Linked DNA regions of Sus scrofa. The protein of the gene in region 3 interacts with the protein of the main gene of each other region in a biochemical or structural test. Links are inferred from orthologs where the notes say so. Each region holds a gene or a part of one and is shown on either strand. Other genes may lie near its edges.

Region 1 (3,974 bases), on a different chromosome or scaffold from region 3:
TTCCTGGCCAATTAGTGAAATATTTATAGGACTGTCAAGTGGGAGCATATAGGTTAGCACTAATTAAACCTTCTTTTTTAGGTCATTAATGTGGATGATGATGGAAATGAGTTAGGTTCTGGCATAATGGAACTTACAGACACAGAACTGATTTTATACACACGCAAGCGTGACTCGGTAAAATGGCACTACCTCTGCCTCCGACGCTATGGCTATGATTCAAATCTCTTTTCTTTTGAAAGTGGTCGAAGGTGTCAAACTGGACAAGGTAGGTAGAGCCTTTATTTTTTTTTTTTCTCCAAACATTATCGCATTTGAAATATTATTCTTTCAGTTATTCTGTATATAATGTTTAAATAATATTTTATTTTTATCCTCATAGGAAAAAATTCTCAAATAAGTGGGTTTTTAAAAAAGATAACAGTACACTGTATATTCATTTATCAAACATTTATTAAGCGTGTTTTCTATGTTTAGAATTTTGACGCATATTAACTTTAAAATTTGCCGTAAGTAAATGATTAGTCCCAGTAAATTGCCTGTGTGTCTTTACTGTTAGAACTTGGGGGAAAGAACTTATTAAACTTTGGAGTCAAACAGAACATGGTTTGATTTTTTGATGTTGTTGTTACCTACCACTTGAAAGTCTTTCGGCAAGTTTCATGACCTCTGTGGCATCAAATGTCTTCTCTATCAGAGGGAAATGGTAATCTGTACCTTATAGAATTATTGTAATAATTAAACAAGATAATCATTGTAAACCACAGAGCAAGGGCTTGTCAAACGGTAAAGGATCCCCTGGTATTAGTGAGTTGGGCTCCCCCTGCTGTTAAAAACCAGAGTAGAGTCAATGTGCAGATCTTGTTTTTGTCTTCCTTATTTTGAGCTGTCACCCACAGACAAAGGAAAATTATTCTGTGAACTTTCTTTTGAGTTTATGTTTTGAAACAGGGAATGTCATTAATTTATCAGACATTTCTTTTTAAGGCCTTTTTTGCTATTGGTGCACAGAATGCTTAACTGTACAATTTTGCTCTTTGGTGCTCCTGTATCTTTTTTAAAGATGTGGTGACTAGTTTTTTTCATCTGGTTTATTTATATTTGTAGGAATCTTTGCCTTTAAGTGTGCTCGTGCAGAAGAATTATTTAATATGTTGCAAGAGATTATGCAGAATAATAGTATAAATGTGGTGGAAGAGCCAGTTGTTGAAAGGAATAACCATCAGACAGAATTGGAAGTCCCCAGAACACCTCGAACACCTACAAGTAAGTGCCCATTTTCCCTCTTCTGTTATAAACTGTGGATTATGGGTATTTATTCTGTAATGTATTAGAAATTACCATTGACTAACATAAGTATAATGGTTATGAGTTTTCAAAAACTGTTAGCTGTAGTTATAAACATTTTTAATATCTTAAATATGAAAACATTACATGTTTCATATTATTTAAAGTGTGAGTGAAAAGTTGGAGCGGAGACGGGCGCTGTTTGTGCTCTGGTTTCTGCCTGAAACACCTTCCTTAATCCTCTGAGTACTGATTGTATTCTCTTTCATTTTATTTTCTCTGCCCTACCCCATCTCCTGCTTTTCTTCTCAAACCACTAAACAAACAAAAACTCAGCTCCAGGGTTTGCTGCTCAGAACTTACCCAATGGATATCCTCGATATCCGTCATTTGGAGATGCTTCATCCCATCCCTCAAGCAGACATCCTTCTGTGGGAAGTGCACGCCTGCCTTCAGTAGGTGAAGAATCTACACATCCTTTGCTTGTGGCTGAGGAACAAGTATGTGCTCCTGTCGAAAAATATTGTGTGGGGTCCTAGTGTTATTATGCTAATAATACTTAAAGTTTTTAGTTTAAATTTTAGTCATTTACTGTTTGTATATGACTTTTGCAGTGAAGACTCAGAGGAAATAGCATATATGGGCTGACATATGCGCAAACGTGTATATGTGTTGAGGGAAACTTATTAGCATTATAGTAAGTTTTAGGGAGTTCGCACCAGAGGTGGGTTAACAGGACATAACTAACATGCTACAATAACCTCCAATGAATGCTTTTTATATTATGGTTTTTGTAATTAGTGGACTTCTAGCATTAAGGCATATTTTGTTGTTGTCAGTGTTTGAACAGAGCAAGTTAATATTCCTGACTTTTCTGTTTTCCTTTTAGGAATGAAATATCTGGTTGAACACTGTCTGTGTATTACTTATCTTTTGTTAACAATGTGATTATTTATCATTAAGAAGTTTTTTCTGTTTTTTTTTTTTTTTTTTTTGTCTGTTTTGGCTTTTTGGGCCACCATGTACCACGGTGGTAAAAGTGCTGCATCCCACCTACTAGACCACCAGGGAACTCCTGAAATTTTTACTGTTTTAAAATCCATTTCTTTATGTTCTTTACTTGGTAAATGAGTTCTTATATGCTATGATTATATCCATCAGTTTTAAATTGTATTTTCGAGATTTTCCAAATTTTATTATTTACATATATCCCCCTAAAATACCATGAGCTTTTCTAAGTAGTGATAATTTCCTGGTATGTGGTATTTATTTTATATCTGTATATTTACAGAACTCTTATTAAATTTAGTAGGGGAGGAATTCCCATTGTGGCTCAGCGGAAACAAACCTGCCTAGTATCCATAAGGATGCAGGTTTGATCCATGGCCTTACTCAGTGGGTTAAGGATCTGGCGTTGCTATGAGCTGTGGTGTAGGTCACCAGTGCCACTCAGGTCCCCTGTGACTGTGGCTGTGGCTTATGTCAGCACCTGTAGGTCCAATTTGACCCCTAGCCTGGGAATCTCTGTGTGCTGTAGGTGCAGCCCTTAAAAGAAAAAAAAAATTAGTAGGGGAGTTCCCACTATGGCACAGTGGGTTAAGGACCCAGCATTGCTGCAGCTGTGTTATAGGTCACAGCTGCAGCTCAGATTGATCCCTGGCCTTGAAACTTCTGTTTTGGCAGGTTTGGCCAAAAAAAGAGTCTAGTAGGGTTTATCCCTTTGTACAGTCAGATCATCTATAAATATTGATAAATTTATCTCTTTTTAATACCTATTATTTCCTGTTTCTAAATCATGTTTTAATGCATTGTTGAGAATTTCTAGAACATTAAAGTGATAATCTCTATTTATTCCTGATTTTTTTTACAGAATGCTTATTATGTTTCACCATCAAGTATATTTTATTTTTATTTATTTATATATTTACTTATTACAGTGTAGTTAATTTACAATGTTGTGCCAATTTCTGCTGTACAGAAGAGTGACTCAGTATGTGTGTGTGTGTGTATACATTCTTTCATTTGTGTGTGTGTGTGTGTGTATGCGTGTGTGTCTTTTTTTAGGGCCTCACCCACAGCACATGGAATTTCCCAGGCTAGGAGTCAAATCAGAGCTACAGCTGCCAGCTTACGCCACAGCCACAGCAGCTCAGGATCCAAGCCGTGTCTACAACCTACACCACAGGTCACAGCAATGCTGGATCCTTAACCCACTGAGCGAGGCCAGAGATCCAACCCACATACTCATGGATACTAGTTGGGTTCTTAACCTGCTGAGCCATGACGGGAACTCCTATGTATTATTTTCCATCATGATCTCTGGAGATTGGATATAGTTCCCTATGTTATACAGTAAGACCTTATTGTTTATCCATTCTAAATGTAATAGTTTGCATATCTTAACCCCAAACTCCCAGTCCATCTCACTCACTCCCCCCTCCCCTCTGGCAACCATCAAATAAATTTCAAAGTAGTTATTCTTTCATCAAGCTAGGAAGACATTTCTACATCCCCCCCCACCCGCAACACACACTAGTCTATTATTAAAAAATAGGTATAGAAGCTTTGAAATAGGAATATGTTTAAAGAGAAAGTTAATAAAATTAATTGATACGGTAAGGTACATTTTTTGACTTTTTTTTTTTTTCTCTGCCTTGCCCACAACATGTGCAAGTTCCCAGGCCAGG
Region 2 (3,974 bases), on a different chromosome or scaffold from region 3:
GACTGAAGCAGATGCTGGCTGGGGTGCTCTGTTTGCCCCTCCTACTTCTCTGTAAGCAACCCCCCACCACATAGATGGGCTCCTCTAACCGCGTCTGTTCTGCATGACCCCATCCTCTTGAGCATAAATGGTCCATGGGTGGACATTGGACCCCGGAAGGGCCACTTGGTGTCTTTCCACTAAGAATTTGTAATTAGGATTGTGAGAAATACTTCTAATTCCTTAGAGTAATCAACTCCTCTCTTTCTCTCTTTCTCTCTTTCTTTCTTTCTTGTCTTTTTGCCTTTTCTAGGGCTGCTCCCACAGCATATGGAGGTTCCCAGGCTAGGGGTCTAATCGGAGCTGTAGCAACAGCCTACACCAGGGCCACAGCAATGGCAATGCTGCGACTTACATCACAGCTCACGGCAATGCCAGATCCTTAACCCACTGAGCAAGGCCAGGGATGGAACCCGCAACCTCATGGTTCCTCCACCAGACCAGAGCAGACTTTACTGGTGCTGTGCCCTTTTCCTGGAGTCTGGCTTAGCAGACTTGATTCCTGAGGGTCAGTGGGTAGTCCTGGCTTCCCCTCTATGCATGGCTAACCTCAAGCCCAGGGTGGAAATCATGGCACAATCACAGATTCACGGGGAAGCATTCGGCATGTGGGGGGGTCTCCACTCATGCCCACGTCTACCAGCGTAAGACGTGGAGCCACGGAGCCACGACGAGAACTCCCAGTGTTCTGTCAATTTTCTACTGTATAGCAAGGGGACCCAGTCACATATCATGTATACATTCTTCCTCTTTTATACTTAATTTGAGTGGGTTTTGTTACCTGCAACCAAAGAGCCTGGAGGATACAGTTTCCTCAGTAAGATGTGCCAAACTCCCACCCACTTCCTCTTACAAACAGTGTGCTTTCTGGCCCTTGGAGCTCACACTACGTTTCACCATTGAGACCGAGACTCACCTCTGACTGCCAGTATATTGCTTTGGAGGAAGTTTTTGGAAGGGGTGGCTCTGTTGGAGGCCAGGCAATAATACTGTCCCTCCTGATCCTTGCTAGCCTTTGGCTTGTGCCAAATGGCCTGGGTGTCATTCAAGGTGACTTGGTGGAAGGGCTTGTTCTCCTTTTCTTTGTAAAACTTGTACGTGATGGGGCCAGATCCTTCTTTCACGGAGCATTGAAGCACAATGGCCTGCCCAGACTCCACCTCCTCGCTCAGGAGAATAGAGAGCTTGACTTCCTCCACTGGGGCTGAAAAGCAGGAAAGGGATTAGCTCTGAGAAAAGAGGTGGGGAAGAGAAGGACCATGACACAGCCACTGGTCAAGGCCAGCCTTCTGTGACTGATCCAGAACTGGACCGTGCCCCTTTTCAAATCACTCCTGGCATCTCACATTCTTTCCAGTTCTTCTCCCGATTAGCCCAGAAGGGCAGCAATGGACACCTCCTGTCCTCACATGTTGATAAGACACGAGATGCTAGGGACGCCTCCCTTCACCTACCACCTCAAGTATTACTGGCCACCTGACTATATGATTAACTTATGTTCTCTTGGGGTCTGTTCTGGGTGAGTTTGGATATGTGAGTGTGTGGGGGTGTGTAAGGGGGAGGGAGGGAGAGAGAGAGAGAGTGTGTGTGATTTCTTTCCCTCTGCTTACAAAGATACATGGCATGTCCAGATCTTACGAGCAAGTAACCTTGATGCCCTGCCTTCTCTCGCTATTGTCCTGTTTTTCTCTTTCTTGTTAGCCTTGAAATCTGACTTCTATCCTTCTGCTTCTGAAGCTGCACTATATCTCTGGTTTTGAAGAAACTCAAAGGTCATCGGACTCCCCAGCTAACTCATCCCTGCAGATAAATCCATGGTGGATGTTCTTCCAGCTTTCGCAGCCTTGGCCTCCCTATCATAATCATTCTCACCTATTACTCAGTCTTTCCCTTTTTTTGGCCATGTCCCTGGCATGTGGAAGTTCCTGGGCCAGGGATCGAACCTCTGCCATAGCAGAGACCTGAGCTGCTGCAGTGACAACGCTGGATCCTTAACCTGCTGAGCCACTAGGGAACTCCACCAGCCTTTTCTTTTGAACTCAGCTTTCTCTGGGCTTCTGTGAAGTCTTACAACTCTGATTCTCTTACCTCCTCACCTGCCACTCCCTCTTTATTCACCAATTTTTCTTCCTTTTGCCCTTTACCTGGGGACTTTCCACAAAATTCGTCCTCAGTTCTCCGTCTCCGCTCTCCCCTTTGGTGATCTCCCCTACATTGGTTAAACAGCTCTAGTCCAGATTACTCCCCTGAATTCCGAGTCTTGAATTTCATTTGGGCATTTCCAGCAAGAAGCCCTGCCAGCCTCTCATTCCCAGCAGAGCCAAGCCGAACTCATCTTCCTCCTATAGCCCCTTTCGCTCCACGTCCAACCACCAAAATTCTGCTTGTAGACTGTCTTCCCAAGGATGTTCCTACTAGTATGAGAGTGAACTGATCAGCAGACTGGCATCTGACTTGTGAGTCACCCTCATGAGTGTAGAGGGGGCCAGACCATGGACTTGCTGACCCAGCGAAAGGGAGCACGGAGCCTGGGATGGGATGATGGGGGTCAACCCCAAGGGCAGCCTCCTGGAGGTGCAGCTGGACCTGACGGCCCCTCTTCTTGTGAAGCACAAGGGGGTGGTGGCAAGCCAGGCTCAGGAGCCAGACTGCCTGGCCTCAATTCCCAGCCCAAATGCCCACCAGCTCTTTATCTTAAGCCCTAGTTGCCTCATCATAAAATAAGGATGATATTAATATGGATCTGATGTGGCTACTGTAAGTATGAATGGGAGTAATTTACTAAAATACTTCACATGGGGGTGGATGGACAGAGCTCAGTAAATATTAGCCATTAATGTTGACCCAGTATAAAACAACAGTTTCACGTGGGCTCCTACACTAGCTTCTTAAGGTCTTGTAAGGCTTGGAGTCTCCACTCCATTTTTTTTTTCTTTTTCACCTTTTTTTAAAAAAATTTTTTTAAGTGAGAATTGCAACTATTTATTTATTATTTATTTGCACTTGTTTGTTTGTTTTGCTTTTTAGGGCCACACCCACAGCATATGGAGGTTCCCAGCATAGGTGTCTAATCGAAGCTACAGCTGCTGGCCTATGCCACAGCCACAGCAACGCCAGATCGAGCTGCATCTGCAACCTACACCACTGCTCATAGCACGCCAGATCCTTAACCCACTGAGCAAGGCCAGGGATGGAACCCGCAACCTCATGGTTCCAGTCGGATTCGCTCCGGCTGTGCCACGACGGGAACTCCCCCCACTCCTTCTAACTGACAGGACTCCCAGGTTAATCTTGCCAAGACCGCATTCTCGGCATATCCTCTTTCCCACTTCTGGCTCTTCACTGCACACAGGACAAAGCCCCGACTCCTGACGGGCAATTGAAGCCCTTCACAGTTAGGCTCAGCCACTCTTCCTGTTTATGGCCGCTGACTCTTCATCCCCAGCCTTTGTGTCCAGCCATTTGATGTAGCCACAGCCTTTTGAACTGCTCCATGGAGCCTTTTGCTCATATATTTGACTAGGCTGGGGACCATCTCTAGCCCTCTCTGCCCAGCCATTGTCGAGCCTTGGCTTTTAGCCAGCTCCTCCCACTCAGCCTAGATGTGGCATCATTCATGCCCTAAATTCCTGTCACCATCACCGTACGGAGGGTTCAGGCGACAATCATGTGTTGCCTAGTAACACTTTTCCTATGTTTCTTTGCACTGTTATTCAAATATATCAAAACGTTCCTTCACTATTTAATCAGGAGATCCTGTGTTTCTCATTATATCATTGAAAACAAAGAATATGTCTTCTTTTTTGGAACGCCCTATAGCATGAGCTGCTTAATATATATTGGTGTTAATTTGAAAAATATTGTTCCTCTTAGACTGTACATTAATAGTAGGAGGAATTGTTATCCACCTCAAGATATCCACATGGGGGAGTTCC
Region 3 (4,413 bases):
TCCTTAACCCACTGATCAAGGTCAGGGATCGAACCTGAAACCTCATGGTTCCTACTCAGATTCATTAACCACTGAGCCACAACAGGAACGCCCCTAAAAAAGTTAAATATATATCTACTATGTGAACCAGCCATACCATTGATGGGTATTTTCCAAAGAGGAATGAGGTACACAGCTATACACACAGTTGTACACCAACATTCAGAGCAGCTTTATTTGTGATGGCCAAACTCTGAAACAACCCAAATGTCCAGCAACAGGTAGGTGGATAAATAGATGGCAGTACATCCATACGATGGAATATTACTAATCAATAAAAAGTAATGAACTATTTGACACACACACTATAATATGGTTGAATCTCAACATAATTATGCTGAGCATAAGAAACCATACATCAAAGCCCATTTATACAAAATTCTAGGAAATGCAAACTAATACACAGGGACAGAAAACAGAAGAGTGTTTGTCTGAGAAGGAAGGGATTAGAAAGGGCTTGAGGAGCCATGGCAAGGCGTGATGGATATGTCCATTATCTCAATTATGGTGATGGTTTTACAAGTGTATCTATGTGTCAAAACTTCTCAAACTGTATGCTTAAATATATGCAGTTGGGAGTTCCTGCTATGGCACATCGGTACTGGCAGCGTCTTGGGAGCACTGGGACACAGGTTCCATCCCCAGCCTGACACTGTGGGTTAAGAATCCTGTGTTGCCGCAGCTGCAGCTTAGGTCACAACTTCGACTTGGATGTAATCCCTGGCCCAGGGAACTTCTATATGCCGCAGGGCAGCCAAAAAAGACAAAAAAAAAAAAAAAAAAAAAAAGAAAGAAAGAAAGAAAAACAAATATATGCAATCTATCCTATGTCGTTTATACCTCAATAAAGCTGGTTAAAAATAAAACATCTATCTGAAAAATAAAAATAAATAGTTTCCAATTATGTGTGTTATATTCATAATATGACTTTTAGGTGGCACACATTTCTTTTCCATAACAGGTAAGAGAGGGCTGGAGGAGAGAAGGAATTACTCCATTTCAAGCTGTCATCTTTACCACTTGCTGCTTTGGCTATACCACACTTCCTGGCTTCTAAACTAACAAGCTAGACAATGTAGAGTCTATTACTACCCAGCCCCTATCCCAGCCCCAGCCCCCAATCTTTTTGTCTCCTAAAAGAAGCAGATCCTTACTTGTCTGGAAGAGCAGACACAAGGAACAAAAGGCTCAATGACTATTTGACAGATTAAAGAATAGACAACTGTTTTATTTAAAAGCTCCCTAAAGAATAAGCACATTTGAGGCTATACACTGTTCTGCTGAAATGCAATTATGTATTACCCAGATCTGTAAGCACTTGCCAACAGACCTGTCCAAAGCACTCACTTTCTAAGTTTTCAGTTTTCTTCTTTCTCTTTTCATTCCATGAATGGAAAATATGCAGGTGTTTTTGAGAAAGCATTCCTAATATTTTGAAATCTCTCATTCAAATAACTCTAACAGCTTGAAACAGTTTTTCAAATGTCTGAGACAGTGACCATAACAGGACAATGAAGGAAAGTCTAAACAATGGATCTTATGTTTGAATCGTATATAAAAAGTAGCAATACATAGCAGGATCGTTATCTGAAAACAACAGATCATACTACTGTTTAACAACAAAATTAAGGCTTACAAATGATTGGCAATAGTTATGAAACAATAATAGCAACCTAGTAATTAACAGTGGGGATTCTGGTTCCACTACTTATTGATAGACTGACCTTAGGCAAGTTGCCTAACTTCTGAAACTCAGTTTACTCATCTTTAGAACGGTGATAACACTACCTATCTCATAGGTTGAGAGTAAGGATTAAACGTATCTGGCATACAGTAAGAGCTAAATAAATGTTAGCTATTAATGGTATAACTACACTGAACTTTCAAAGAATCTCAATTCACTACTCTGAGGACTCTTCGGTTCAAATCCTATTACTATCATGTTTCCTCTGAGCCTCAGTTTACACATCCGTAAAACGGGGGTGATTAATGTTACCAGACATTTACGGTTGTGGTGAAGGATTAAATAACTAGAGACAGAGCTCCCTGCCCTCCAATCTCCCAAAGAGAAGATCGCAGAGGAAGGAAATACTTCTAATAGCTGTAGATACAGTCAGTTTTTCCATTTCTGGCACGTGAGTAGTCGGGGGGACGGGATGCAAAAAGGCATGTAAAGGGGTCAGGGATCCTGAGTAAAGCCCCCGAATGCGCGCAAAAAGTAGTGACCCAGAGCCGCTCGATCAACTGGGGCCCGGCCCCGCGCAACTCCCTCCTCTCCCCTCCCGCGTCCCGGACCGAGGAGCCTCCCCAAGTGAGCGGGGTTATTTCGGAATCACCATGAGGCAATTCTCATGAGGCAATGGGTCAGGAATGCGGCGCCGAGCCGGGCCGCTGGCGTCCGCGGTTCCTGGGGCGGCTCTACCTGCCCCTGTCCAGACGGGCATCCCCAGGGCTGCAGGAGCCGGAACTCGGGGAGGCAGGAAATGAATGAGGACGCGAGGGGTGGGGGCGCGGTGGGGCCGGGCCCTGGGGCCCAGGAGGGACAGGGAGTTGGGACAGATCCTGCCCCCGCGACCCCGGGCCGGAGTCCGAAGCCTGGCCCGGCCGCCCCTTCCCAGGCCGGGCAGACCAAACGCGGCGCGGGGGGGGTGCGGGGCTGAGGCCCAGGCTGGGCCCTCGGGGCTCCTCACCTCCGCGATGTCATGTTCCTCCCGCTCTCCGGCTCCGCGACGGACCGGTTCCTTGCTCAGGCTCCACTGAGCCTGGTCACATCGGGCTGGCCCGAGGGAGGCCCGCTCGGGACCGGACGGGGGGCAGTGCCAGCCGGCCGCGCGCAGACCCCCCTCCAGGCCTGGGGATCCCGGGGACTGTGCAGCCGCCCCCCAACCTCGGTTCGCTCCTCCTTCTCCCCCGCCCCTCGGCGCCGGCGCCACCATGACGTCACCCCGCGCGACGCCGGCCGCTACTTCCTGCTTCCAGTCAGCCGGGGCTGATCTGCAACTGGTTATGGCAATTTAGTGGTTCGGCGAAGCAGCTGCCGTGCAGTTCCCAAAGTACCCTCACCTCCTCCTTTAGGCCTTCACAGCGGGGCCTGTGCTGTGCGCTCAAAGTCTCACGCGCTCACAGGAATTGATCGCATCCACTCCCACCGCGTGGATTTCCATTCCTGCGCCGTCAAGTCGAATTTCATTCATTTCATTCTACAAACAGCCGCTTCGCTCCAGATATGTAACCTTGGGAAAACTGCTTGATTTCTCTGAGGCTGTTTCCTCCATTCCTTCATTTCTGTACAACGAGAATTGTATTTTCTTCTTAGGTTTATGGGGAGAATTAAAAATGTAAAATGTTTAGAACGAGGCCTGGCCTATTAAGTGCTTTATTGGAAGTAAACATGCAAGTGTTTTCTATCTGCTAGGCTCTATTTTTGACTATGGGGATGAAAAGACAAAAATCCCGGTGTTCTTGTGATAGGAGCCATAGTAATCAAGAGAAATACTCCCATCCTCATTTCCCTTCTTTTCTCCATAGCCGTTTATGTTATTTTAAAGGATAACGTTATCACTAAGGATAACGTTTGAGTAAAGATCTGATGTAGAAATAGACAGAATAATTTAGGGGAAGAGCATTTCAAGCACAGGGAGAGGCCATTGCAAAGGGCCTGAGGCAGGAGGCAGGAGGGAAAATGAAGAAATCTCTGCCTGGAGCACAGTAGGAGGTGGGAAGGGTATAGGAAATATAAGGAGAGTAGTAGGAAATGATAACACTCCCTATAAATGAAAGTCCAGGACCAGATGGATTCACAGGTGAATTCTACCAAACATACAAAGAGGAACTTATACCCATCCTTAAACTTTTCCAAAAGTTTGAAGAAGGAACACTCCCAAAGACATTCTATGATGCCACCATCATCCTAATACCAAAACCAGACAAAGATGTTAACAAAAAAGAAAACTATAGGCCAATATCTTTGATGAATACAGACCCCAAAATTTTCAACAAAATTTTAGCCAACTGCATCCAAAAACATAAAAAAGATTATACACCATGACCAAGTGGGATTCATCCCAGGATCACAAGGATGGTTCAACATATGCAAATCAATCAATGTCGTACACCACATCAACAAAAGAAAAGTCAAAAACCACACGATCGAACTATGTATAGATACTCATATTGCAACAGAACAAAGGGTGGGGGAAAAAATGTATACATGTAAGGATAACTTGATCCCCTTGCTGTATGGTGGGAAAAAAAAAAAACCACACGATCATCTCAATAGATGCAGAAAAAGCATTTGACAAAATTCAACACCCATTCATGATAAAAACTCTTATCAAAGTGAGTGTAGAGGGAATATACCTTAACATAATAATA

What was found. The genes of interacting proteins can lie anywhere in the genome.
Region 1: the proteins of PTPN11 (region 3) and FRS2 interact in a test that uses a peptide from one of them, tested with the Homo sapiens proteins (2 studies listed by BioGRID, with this or other methods). The link is inferred for Sus scrofa from reciprocal best matches to the Homo sapiens genes PTPN11 and FRS2.
Region 2: the proteins of PTPN11 (region 3) and PECAM1 form a complex in vitro, tested with the Homo sapiens proteins (4 studies listed by BioGRID, with this or other methods). The link is inferred for Sus scrofa from reciprocal best matches to the Homo sapiens genes PTPN11 and PECAM1.

Annotation. Positions count from the first base shown.
Region 1 is NC_010447.5:33,843,730-33,847,703, forward strand, and holds part of FRS2 (fibroblast growth factor receptor substrate 2), read left to right. Parts: intron 1-81; coding exon 82-268; intron 269-1,107; coding exon 1,108-1,266; intron 1,267-1,623; coding exon 1,624-1,787; intron 1,788-3,974. UniProt on the Homo sapiens protein: Adapter protein that links activated FGR and NGF receptors to downstream signaling pathways.
Region 2 is NC_010454.4:14,691,439-14,695,412, reverse strand, and holds part of PECAM1 (platelet endothelial cell adhesion molecule), read right to left. Parts: intron 1,244-3,974; coding exon 956-1,243; intron 1-955. UniProt on the Homo sapiens protein: Cell adhesion molecule which is required for leukocyte transendothelial migration (TEM) under most inflammatory conditions.
Region 3 is NC_010456.5:39,289,075-39,293,487, forward strand, and holds the start of PTPN11 (tyrosine-protein phosphatase non-receptor type 11), read right to left. Parts: upstream 2,966-4,413; 5' UTR 2,744-2,965; coding exon 2,730-2,743; intron 1-2,729. UniProt on the Homo sapiens protein: Acts downstream of various receptor and cytoplasmic protein tyrosine kinases to participate in the signal transduction from the cell surface to the nucleus. Positively regulates MAPK signal transduction pathway. Dephosphorylates GAB1, ARHGAP35 and EGFR.